2 linked regions of the Arabidopsis thaliana genome follow. The protein of the gene in region 1 purifies or fractionates together with the protein of each later gene. This does not show direct contact. Each region holds a gene or a part of one and is shown on either strand. Other genes may lie near its edges. The genes, in order: Tic32-IVa and Tic22-III.

Evidence for each region.
Region 2: the proteins of Tic32-IVa (region 1) and Tic22-III purify together in Arabidopsis thaliana (affinity purification with western blotting, with the first as the bait; one study listed by BioGRID). This does not show direct contact.

What each region holds. Positions count from the first base shown.
Region 1 is NC_003075.7:12,227,293-12,232,499, forward strand, and holds Tic32-IVa (NAD(P)-binding Rossmann-fold superfamily protein), read left to right. Parts: upstream 1-1,610; 5' UTR 1,611-1,878; coding exon 1,879-1,984; intron 1,985-2,729; coding exon 2,730-2,961; intron 2,962-3,037; coding exon 3,038-3,117; intron 3,118-3,234; coding exon 3,235-3,388; intron 3,389-3,462; coding exon 3,463-3,541; intron 3,542-3,625; coding exon 3,626-3,713; intron 3,714-3,829; coding exon 3,830-3,876; intron 3,877-4,018; coding exon 4,019-4,201; 3' UTR 4,202-4,426; downstream 4,427-5,207. Other genes in the region: AT4G23420 (NAD(P)-binding Rossmann-fold superfamily protein), read left to right, coding at 1-4, 88-167, 268-421, 512-590, 681-768, 892-938, 1,106-1,270. UniProt on the Arabidopsis thaliana protein: Involved in protein precursor import into chloroplasts. Part of the redox regulon consisting of TIC32, TIC 55 and TIC62.
Region 2 is NC_003074.8:8,531,772-8,537,173, forward strand, and holds Tic22-III (Tic22-like family protein), read left to right. Parts: upstream 1-2,076; 5' UTR 2,077-2,289; coding exon 2,290-2,841; intron 2,842-2,928; coding exon 2,929-3,003; intron 3,004-3,600; coding exon 3,601-3,657; intron 3,658-3,854; coding exon 3,855-3,914; coding exon of another isoform or gene 3,915-3,923; exon of another isoform or gene 3,924-4,002; coding exon 4,003-4,083; intron 4,084-4,174; coding exon 4,175-4,210; intron 4,211-4,296; coding exon 4,297-4,377; 3' UTR 4,378-4,770; downstream 4,771-5,402. Other genes in the region: AT3G23700 (Nucleic acid-binding proteins superfamily), read right to left, coding at 1-1, 85-135, 220-298, 586-689, 770-851, 933-1,053, 1,145-1,304, 1,377-1,438 and 1 more; SCRL13 (SCR-like 13), read left to right, coding at 5,079-5,145, 5,282-5,402. UniProt on the Arabidopsis thaliana protein: Involved in protein precursor import into chloroplasts.

The sequences.
Region 1 (5,207 bases):
TGATGTAAGCTATTGAAATATCGTGGTTCATCTATAGCCGTTTGGATTTATTGACGTTTATGTTTTGACTTGTCTCAATTTTGTAAGCAACAATGCCGGGATTATGGCATGTCCTTTTATGCTCTCTAAGGACAACATCGAGCTGCAATTCGCAACCAACCATTTAGGTGAGTATGATAACCAAACCAACATTATGGCTTTGTCCTACATTTTATATAATTAGTTTCTAATCAGTGCAACGGTTTTTGTAATCCAAATACATTTCAGGACATTTTCTGCTTACCAAACTTCTGTTAGATACAATGAAGAACACATCACGTGAAAGCAAAAGAGAAGGAAGGATTGTTAACGTATCATCAGAAGCTCATCGTTACTCGTACCCAGAAGGAGTCCGCTTTGATAAGATCAACGACGAGTCAAGGTACTAATGGTGAACCAAATAGTATAATTCTCCGATCCCATCTTTTCTTCTAAAGCCAACATTCTTCCTTGATTTGGTCTCCACATGCAGTTACAGTAGTATACGTGCTTATGGACAATCTAAACTCTGCAATGTATTGCACGCCAACGAGCTTGCAAAGCAACTGAAGGTAAACTACACTAAACAAAGCAAAGATATAGCAAATCAAGAATCTATGTTTCCATGGTTATCTTCAATTCTGGTATATGATTAAAAACAGGAAGATGGAGTCAATATAACAGCAAATTCACTTCATCCAGGAGCCATTATGACAAATCTATGGGGCTACTTCAACTCCTATTTGGCTGGTAACTTCTTTTCTCGGATTCAACTCTCATCACTCCATGTTTCATAAGGTTACACTCAAAGTAAACAAACGCATACATATATTTTGAGTCTCTTCTGATCTCTCTGTCACCGGCTTAATGCAGGAGCTGTTGGTGCAGTGGCTAAATATATGGTCAAGTCTGTTCCGCAGGTATGCATCTAATTTCTGAACCTCACACTAATAACCAATCACTTGCAAACTTGTCACTAGGTTTCTCAGCTTAAGTAGGAGAGAATGATACAGCAGTCTAGCTTTACGGATTGATTTGGTTTTTGTTGGTAATCTGGTTTATAATGTCTGAGTATTCGACTTGGTAGGGGGCGGCAACAACTTGCTATGTGGCATTGAATCCACAGGTTGCAGGAGTTACAGGGGAATACTTCTCAGATAGCAACATTGCTAAACCAATAGAACTTGTCAAAGATACAGAATTGGCGAAGAAGCTTTGGGATTTCAGCACTAAGCTTACTGATTCGCAATGATGATTACCGTTGCAGTAGATAGTTGTTCAGGGAACCTTTACTTTCGATGTCTCTATTGTGACAATACTTATTTCAGTCTTTATTGATACAAAATAAAATGTAAAAAACAAATCTGAAATCATTTCCATTTCAATTCTGCAAAAAGATGGTTTATCCAATTTCAGCCTAAACAAAAGTGTTACTTATCTGTTTTCTCATTGACTCAAAACAGTTGTCTAGTGAACTAACTCGTAGACATAAGTAAGTAAGAAACCAAACAGAAAGAGCTTAAAACATCTTCTGATTTTGGAGTTAACTCATGTTATTGGTGGGAGCTATTTTAAGGACATTTGTTAAATCCTTTAAAAAGAAAGTTGTTAATAAATCCCCATCATTTGACTTTGGAGATGCACTATTCTACACTTCAACCTCAACCTCGTGAGACATGAGGATTAAAGTAAAGTAATCACATTTCTGTCACATATGAACAAATAAAGTTATTTAAATCAGAATAAAAGCGAAATCGCTTGACCACTCAAGAAGAGAAAAACGCTAACAAGTCCCATAGTTTGTGTTTATTGGACTTCTTTCCTCTCATCTTCTCCAGCAGAAACAAAAAAAGCTGAAAGATGTGGTTTTTTGGATCGAAAGGAGCATCTGGATTCTCGTCTCGTTCAACTGCAGAGGAAGTCACACATGGTGTTGATGGGACTGGTCTCACTGCCATAGTCACAGGTTTTCTTCTATCAACACTTTCATGCCATTTTGCGACATGGGGTTGTCTAAAGTTGTAGACTTTTTTTCTTATAATTTCCAGAACTTTTGTCCTCTCTGATTCTGTCTTCGAATTGATTTCATATCTAGTAAAAAGACTTGACTTTTATTGTTTAGACAATTGGAATTTAAGGTTTTTATCATCAGGGTCTGTCTTTGATTCGGTCAACTCTAATAAATATTGAGGTCATCACTGTTTCTTGTTCGAAAGTTGTCTTTTTTTTCAAGAATTTGGATTGAAAATTCCATGTTTGGTGAATTTTAAAGTACAACAAGTTTGGGACCATATGTATAATTGCATGTTAAGGGAAAATAACTCGTCTCTGTTTCAGCTGCTTGTAAGTTGTGTTATATATCACAACTCTATACAATTCCTGGCCAAGGGAAGAAAAAATACAGATTTGCTTGTAGAAATCGTTTCTATATTTTGATCATATTACATTAGGGCCTGAAACAAGAACAATGGAGTCCTTGAATTGATAGAACCCTGTTAGGTGACACTAAAGACTTGCACATACATATTTGAGTGTAGCATCGATTGGGCAAACCCTGAGTCAGCCTAATAGCCTATCAGGGTTTGAAAAGGCTTGGAAGAGCTTAACTGATCATTGGTTGATACAACTTTAAAAAGTAGTCTAGCCTGCATTGAGTTTTCTGGACATGTTTGGTTCCTTAAGTTTTCTTGTCTTTGTGTTCATATTTTCAGGAGCATCAAGTGGTATAGGAGTAGAGACAGCGCGTGTTCTTTCACTGCGTGGTGTGCATGTGGTTATGGCGGTGAGGAACACTGACTCTGGTGCTAAAGTTAAGGAAGATATTGTCAAGCAAGTCCCTGGAGCTAAACTCGATGTCATGGAGTTAGATCTCAGCTCAATGCAATCTGTCAGGAAATTTGCGTCTGAGTACAAATCTACTGGTCTTCCACTCAACCTCTTGATGTAAGCTATTGAATACTGTATATAGCGGTTTTGATTTATTGATGGTTAATGTTTTGAATTGTCTTAATCTTGTAAGCAACAATGCCGGGATTATGGCATGTCCTTTTATGCTCTCTAAGGACAACATCGAGCTGCAATTCGCAACCAATCATTTAGGTGAGTAGGAGAAGTAAACCAACATTATGTGGCTTTGTTCTAAAGTTATATACTTAAGTTAACATCATCATTAGTTTTTAGTCAGTGGCATGGAATTTGTGATCCACTTTATTTCAGGTCATTTTCTGTTGACTAAACTTCTGCTAGATACAATGAAGAGCACATCACGTGAAAGCAAACGAGAAGGAAGAATTGTTAACCTATCATCAGAAGCTCATCGGTTCTCGTATCCAGAAGGAGTTCGTTTTGATAAGATCAATGACAAGTCAAGGTACTAATGGTGAACCAAATAGTAATTCTTCTATCAAAATCTAACATTCTTCCTTGGTTTGGTCTCCGTTGCAGTTACAGTAGTATGCGAGCTTATGGACAATCTAAACTCTGCAATGTGTTGCACGCCAACGAGCTTACAAAGCAACTGAAGGTAACTAGAAAAACAAGAGATCTATCAAATCAAAATCTATGTTTCCATGGTTATATTGATTCAAATCTGGTATGAATAAAATAGGAAGATGGAGTCAATATAACAGCAAATTCGCTTCATCCAGGAGCCATTATGACTAACCTCGGGCGCTACTTCAACCCCTATTTGGCTGGTAACTTCTTTTCTCTTATTCCACTATCATCACCCCATACTTCACAAGGTTACACACAAGTAAACAAACGCATACATATACTTCTTCTGATCCTCTCTGGCATTGGCTTGATGCAGTAGCGGTTGGTGCAGTGGCTAAATATATACTCAAGTCTGTTCCACAGGTATGCTTCTAATTTCGAAGCCTCACACTGGTAACCAATCACTTACAAACTGGTCACAAGGTTTCTCAGATCTTGCTTAAAGGATAAAACTTGGTTTTGTTCCGTTATGTGGTTTATAATGTCTGAGTATACGACTTTGTAGGGAGCGGCAACAACTTGCTATGTGGCATTGAATCCTCAAGTTGCAGGAGTTTCAGGGGAATACTTCCAAGATAGCAACATTGCTAAACCATTACCACTTGTCAAAGATACAGAATTGGCCAAGAAGGTTTGGGATTTCAGCACCAAGCTTACCGATTCACAATCAGGAGAAAGCAGTTCTTGAAAGTAAATGATGTTCAGTGAATCTTTACTAATGGTTTCATGTTTCAACGTCTCTTATCTCTACTGTGACAATACTTATTTCAGTCTTTATCAAAGGAAATAAAAACGTATAACAAATCTGCAATAAGATGGTTTATTCTGACCGGTTTAGTTCTAAACCTTCACCAAACACTTATCAGAAGAAAATGTAAAAAAGCTTTGTAATCAAGTATCAGAAGATTTTAAAGACAACTTTCGAATTCAAAAAGAAGAAGAAGCCACGAGGAGACAATACTGTCAATGCATTATTAAAGTGATGGTCAGAAATGAAAATAAAAATCAATGATGATAGTTTTCTAGTTTAAACTCACTTTATTAATGGTTTCATTAGGAAGGTTAAGTAATTAATTAATCTTTGTGATTGGAATTTGGATCATAACGTGCAAATTGTCGATATAGAGTGTTATAGATAGGCTCTGTATTTAATTCATTTCATACCCTCTATATATAATTGTCGGTCGTTAGATGGCATTTGTTTTTATATTTATTTGATTTGGACCAAACAATGCTATTAATGATATGCATTGTATAAATTTCAAACTATAACGAGAGCAAATTTCAATGTAGGTTTAGGACTATATATGTTGATATTTAACAAAAAAGAAAAATTCATCTTAGGGTGATAAGATTGATCACTAAAGATTATTGAAATGTGGCCAAGTACTAGAGTACTACTATTTGTGACTATTTTACAATTGTTCACAATCATATCTATTGTACGTACAAACTATTTGCAGAAAAATCACATGCTCCAATATGAGATATTGTGTGTATGGATGTGGATACCTCAAATTAACTCGTAAAAATGTATGGACCTAATATAGTATATAATACGATACTAAAGATTTTTGTTCATTTTACTGTTGTTGATAGACTTACACTATGATGAGCAACAAAGGACTGAAATTTCAACAACAACAAATGATTTTTGAAATTGTCAAAATTAGTTGTCATCATCAGCAACAACA
Region 2 (5,402 bases), on another chromosome or scaffold:
CCTGTAATGTTAATATTTTACTTAAAATCAAACCAAGAATCTCTCTATCTATGGCCATATAAATGGGTAGCTTCTGAGATTTACCTGTCTTCCAGCACGGGCAAGAAGAACAAACTTCCCATCAGAAGGCGGTGTCTGCGTGTGAACATGCGCATAGAATCAGAATTTTCACAGAGCAGAGTTTATTCTTACGGGAAAGTAAAGAGAAACAGAACTCACATTTGAGAGCCAAAGTTGTAGGTCTTGTGAAACCACTCTTTTCTCAAATCCTTGCCGGTTGATTTTCACAGCTTCTATTCTGCAATATAGAAATGAATATTAGTTACACACTGGAACCAAAATGTTATGCCTGAAACATAGATTCTATAAGTAATGCAATTAACAATATCCAACTCATCATGGGTTCAGAAAAAGTATCAGCCAGCAATAGCTATTGACATGTATATATTCAATCGCAAATCGAGGAGTGAACAAATCTAGTAGAGTAGAGGTGATCCTAGTCACTTATAATAAGCAGATATTATGCAAAGAGCTGACTAGGACTGCATAGTAAATTTAAATTATAAAATGATATTGTCTATATACCCATCTTCCTTTAAAAGCTCTTCAAGTATTGTTTCTAGCCCTGGAAGAGGTTCAATTGTATCCCCATTGTTCGAGCTTAGCGAAGGAGATCCAGTAGAACTGTCCTGTAACAATATTCAATTATCTATTAAAAATCACTAAGACCCACAAGAGACAGAAAACACATTCATTCACATTGTTTTACCTTCAAAATCACTTTGTCTAATGTTTCTAGAAGAGGATCATCTTCTAGTTGTTTGATGGATAGTGTAATCCTTGATTTCTCTCTGCATTGGAACAACTTTTGATTAAAAACTATATCATGAGTCATGGCTAATAAATTTCAGTAACCAAAATAAGCAACTCACTTGTCAATATTCGTGACTATAACCCGAACCTCGTCACCATCGCGTAGTACATCCCTAACATCTTGAACGTAATCCCATGATACTTCGGAGACATGCACTAGTCCAGTTAAATGATAAAGACCTATACACCACCACCCCACATAACTGACATCAATGTCATAAGCTCAAAACAAGAAAAAGAAACCAAGAAATTTAGGTAAAAGCAAATATACCATCATCAAAACGCAAGTGGATAAAGGCACCATAGTCCTCAACAGAACCTACTCTTCCGTTAAACACATCCCCAACATTAACGTTTTGTGAATACTTTGGCCATAATGCTAACTTCTCAGATAAAATCAACTTTCTATTTTCCTCATCAGCTTGAACAACCTAATATAAAGATTTACCTCAAATTATAAACAATATAGAGATCACAAAACAAGCCAAAGGAGAAAACTTTACCTTTACAGGAAGTTTAGAACCAACCAAAGTCTTAGCTATCTCATGAATACTTTTCTGAGGCTCTTCATAAAGCAAAACACAAACCATCGATCAATGTAAAAATCGATACTTTAAGGACATAAACATAGAACCTTGTGAAGAAGAGAGAGTTTTGGTTACCTTTACAAGAACGGGAAGGACTTAATTGTGGATAAGGAAGAAAACCCACAAGAGAATGAAAACGAATAAGTAAGCCACCACCATTAAAGCCTTGAACTTCACCTTCAAATGTATCACCACTTTTACAATAAGCTTTTGCTGTTTTCCAATCGCTTGGTCCTGCAGCTGAAGCTTCGTCGGAGGTATCACGGAGAAGAGAATTGGAAGCGGAGAGGACTGAGGAAGAGGCTGATTGATCGGAGTTTCTATCGGTATCTGCTGTGGCGGAGCTTGAGAAGGATTTGACTATGCAGACGAGAGAGTTTCTATTGGAAGAAGAAGAAGACGAGGAAGGAAGGAGTCTAAGTGGGCAAGAGAGGAAAGTGGATTGTTGGTCGAAGAGATGAGAGGCGAATGAAACAGAACCTAAAGTAGTAGCGCCACTAAAAACCGCCATTGTTGCGCGGTAGAGCAAAAAAGCCACGGAGATTGAAGGTAATGATGGTTAATGGATTTTGCCATTTTGGATAAGAAAGTGAGAGACTGGAGATGAAGGTGACGTGGCATTTGTCAGCTCACAGGTGCTATATTTTAAAACATATAGGATCAATTTGTAAACATTGGATAATTAGAGGGTTTCTTTACAAAAACAATTCTAATTCAAGCAAAGAGATCAAATCTTTTTCCTCAGTGTCGTCGTCTTCTTCGCAAAGCCTTTCAAAAACCCTTCACTACTCTTTCTCAGAGTCTCAAGCATCATTTTCCCGAGAAAACTATGAATTCAAACATTTTCCCACCATCGAAACAACAAAACGAGCTTAATAATATACAACAATCCTTCTCAAATCTCCAATCTCAATGCTCCAATTTACTCCTCAACGTTTCACAAACCCTTAATCCTCTCTTCAACGCCAACACGAACAACAACAAACCTAATATATTCTCTGCTCTCAATTCGTTTCGTGATCAAGCTAAGCAAGCTTTAGATTCTAGAATCTCTCGATTCAATTCTGGTAAGGCACCTGTCTGGGCGAGAATTTCTGACGACGGTGGTGGTGCGAGGGCTCAGGTGACGGTTCCGATTCGCGGAAGCGGGAAAGGATTATCTGCTGATGCTATTGAGGAGAGATTGGCGGGAGTTCCTGTTTACGCGTTGAGTAATTCGAATGAGGAGTTTGTGTTGGTTTCAGGGACTTCCTCTGGGAAATCTCTGGGTTTGTTGTTTTGTAAAGAGGAAGATGCAGAGACTCTTCTTAAAGAGATGAAGAGTATGGATCCTCGTATGAGGAAAGAAGGTTCAAAAGTTGTTGCTCTTGCTCTTAGCAAGGTATAAGGAGGAATCAATAACTCAATTAGCTCCTTTAGTATTCTTCTGTTTAGTGGTTTTGATTTTTGTGTGTGTTGTTTGTTGCAGGTGTTCCAGTTAAAAGTTAATGGTGTGGCATTTAGGTTGATTCCTGAGTCTACTCAAGTGAAAAATGCCTTGAAGGTGAGTTGATTTTACGATCGAACATATCTTTGGATACTCAAAAACTTTTCTTTTTGTCACGGTAGGCGTTAGACCTGCTGAATATGACTGTCATCATTCATTAACGAGGAGCTTTTGTGTTAATTTAGTTCAGGGGCATTTTGATTACTTCAGTGGTTTATTGTAGCTCTGTTTCAGCGACTATAGATAAGTCAGTTAGTTAGAGAGGTAACTGATTAGAAGGAAGTTGATGCAGATGGAGAAGGGATTCTGGATTGGTCTAGCATTGGTTTGGGCTTAGGAGAGTTGAGGGTGCTTTAGAATTCATCATTGGTGCTTTGATTTGGTTTGTTCTCAGTTCTGTATGTGGATTCAGAGAGTGAGTAAATAAAGAGAGAATACCTTTTCTGCGTCAACAGTTGGTTTTCTTTAGGAGTACACTAATTGCATTCAGTTTTGGTACATTTTTACTCAAAGGTGGTCGGGTTAATTTGCAGGGTATAGGTCTTATGGATGTAATCCTTCCTAGATGTACGATTATGTTTCTGAAAACAGACTGTAGCATTTGGTTAGACACAGTACAAGTAAATTATATATCTCTTCTATATGTGTATACAGGAAAGGAAAACAGCTGGTATCGATGATGATGACTTCCATGGTGTTCCGGTTTTCCAGGTAATATGCGAAAGAACCAATACTTTTAATGGTTGTGACTAGCTTTTTCGTTTTTACTCTATCTAGTGGTCTGTAATATAGTTTCGGATATTTATCTACCATGGAATCGTAATAATCATTATTTCTTCCTTAAAATGGTCGAGACATGTTTTCCTTAATGTCCAATTTTCTTAACGATCTGACTTGTGTTGTCTCAGTCAAAGAGCTTGATTCTACGAAGTGAAAACATGAGTTATCGCCCTGTTTTCTTTAGAAAGGTTAGTTAAACTAACAAGACACAGTTCACCTTTGTCCATACACTGATTACATGATCGGCAAGCTTGAGTCTTGGTTGAGTTTTGACAGGAGGACTTGGAAAAATCTCTAATACGAGCGTCCAGCCAACAGAACCGACTTAACCCTGCTCTGAAACCAGGCGATATTCAGGTTCCTTGTTATTTAACTTTAGTCTCCCTATTTCTTGTCAATCCATAATTCTGTCATCTCATATTGAAATTCATGATTTTGTATTCCAAAGGTTGCAGTTTTCGAAGATATTGTCAAGGGAATGAGGGTAAACAATCAAACATGATTCTGTAATGCATTTTCCTTTAAGAATGATTGGTTTTGCTGAACCTGTTTTCCCGGGCGAAATTGCAGGAAAGCACGACGTCAAACTGGGACGACATTGTGTTTATACCGCCTGGTTTTGAGGTTTCAACTGAGCAAACACAGGAGTAAGTGAAATCCTTGGAGCATCGTAAAACCTCAACACAATGCTTCTCCCTTTTCATATTCCTATCTCATCATTCAACAACTTGATGAACACAGCGAGTTGGAAATAGCGTTGATGATGTTAACTCCATTAACATCCTTCTCCAATCTCTGCTTTTTCTATGTCATCTTATGAGTTTTTTAGTGACATCTTCGCTTTATGTTTACTATTAGTACTAGAAGAGTAGCTTGTACTAATAGTCTAATATTACTGTCATGTCTTAACATTTAAGTTAATTTTTGTTAATTTGCATCCGTGACCTAAGTGGGAAAGTGGGAAACTATGCGTCAACTTTTGAAAAATTGTGATTGACTAGATTTACCTATCAATATCTTAACAAGGTCCATGTAAAAATCGTGCAAACCCGCATTTGATTAATCATCTCTCGTATTTTTCCATGATTTGTATATATTGACATGTTCAATTCGAAAATCCTACATATCAGCCGCAACTCGTATATTAAACTACGATTTTGTCTATTTTGTTGACCAATAAATTTTACTTATTTGAAATTTATTATTCTAATTTAATATGAAAATCTATTTTTAGTGTATATCATTTATATATAATCATAGTTTTAGACAAAAATATATTTACTTATTTCAGCTCAAAAAAATACTAAAAGTTTCTGCATAAAAAAACTACTTTTGATTCAATTTTTGGTGTCATGAGGTGTGTTACCTCGTTTGTAGTTTTGTGTATTCTCATGTTCCTTGTGGTAAACAATGTTAAAGGTAATACTATTAATTTTCTTATAATTTTTTTATATATTAGGAGTTATGCAAATATTGATTATTCCTATCAAACTTTGAAATTCTTTGTTTATCAGTATAGTTTAGTTAAATATTTATCTGTGGTTTTTTGAAACAGTAGATGTGAAAGCACAACGAAGGAAACCTGTTTGTAAATTGACTGGTGTCCTAAACCCTGGAAAATGTCCCACAGCTATACATGATGCAAGCAACTTGTGTAGTCGCAAATTGGCTTCACC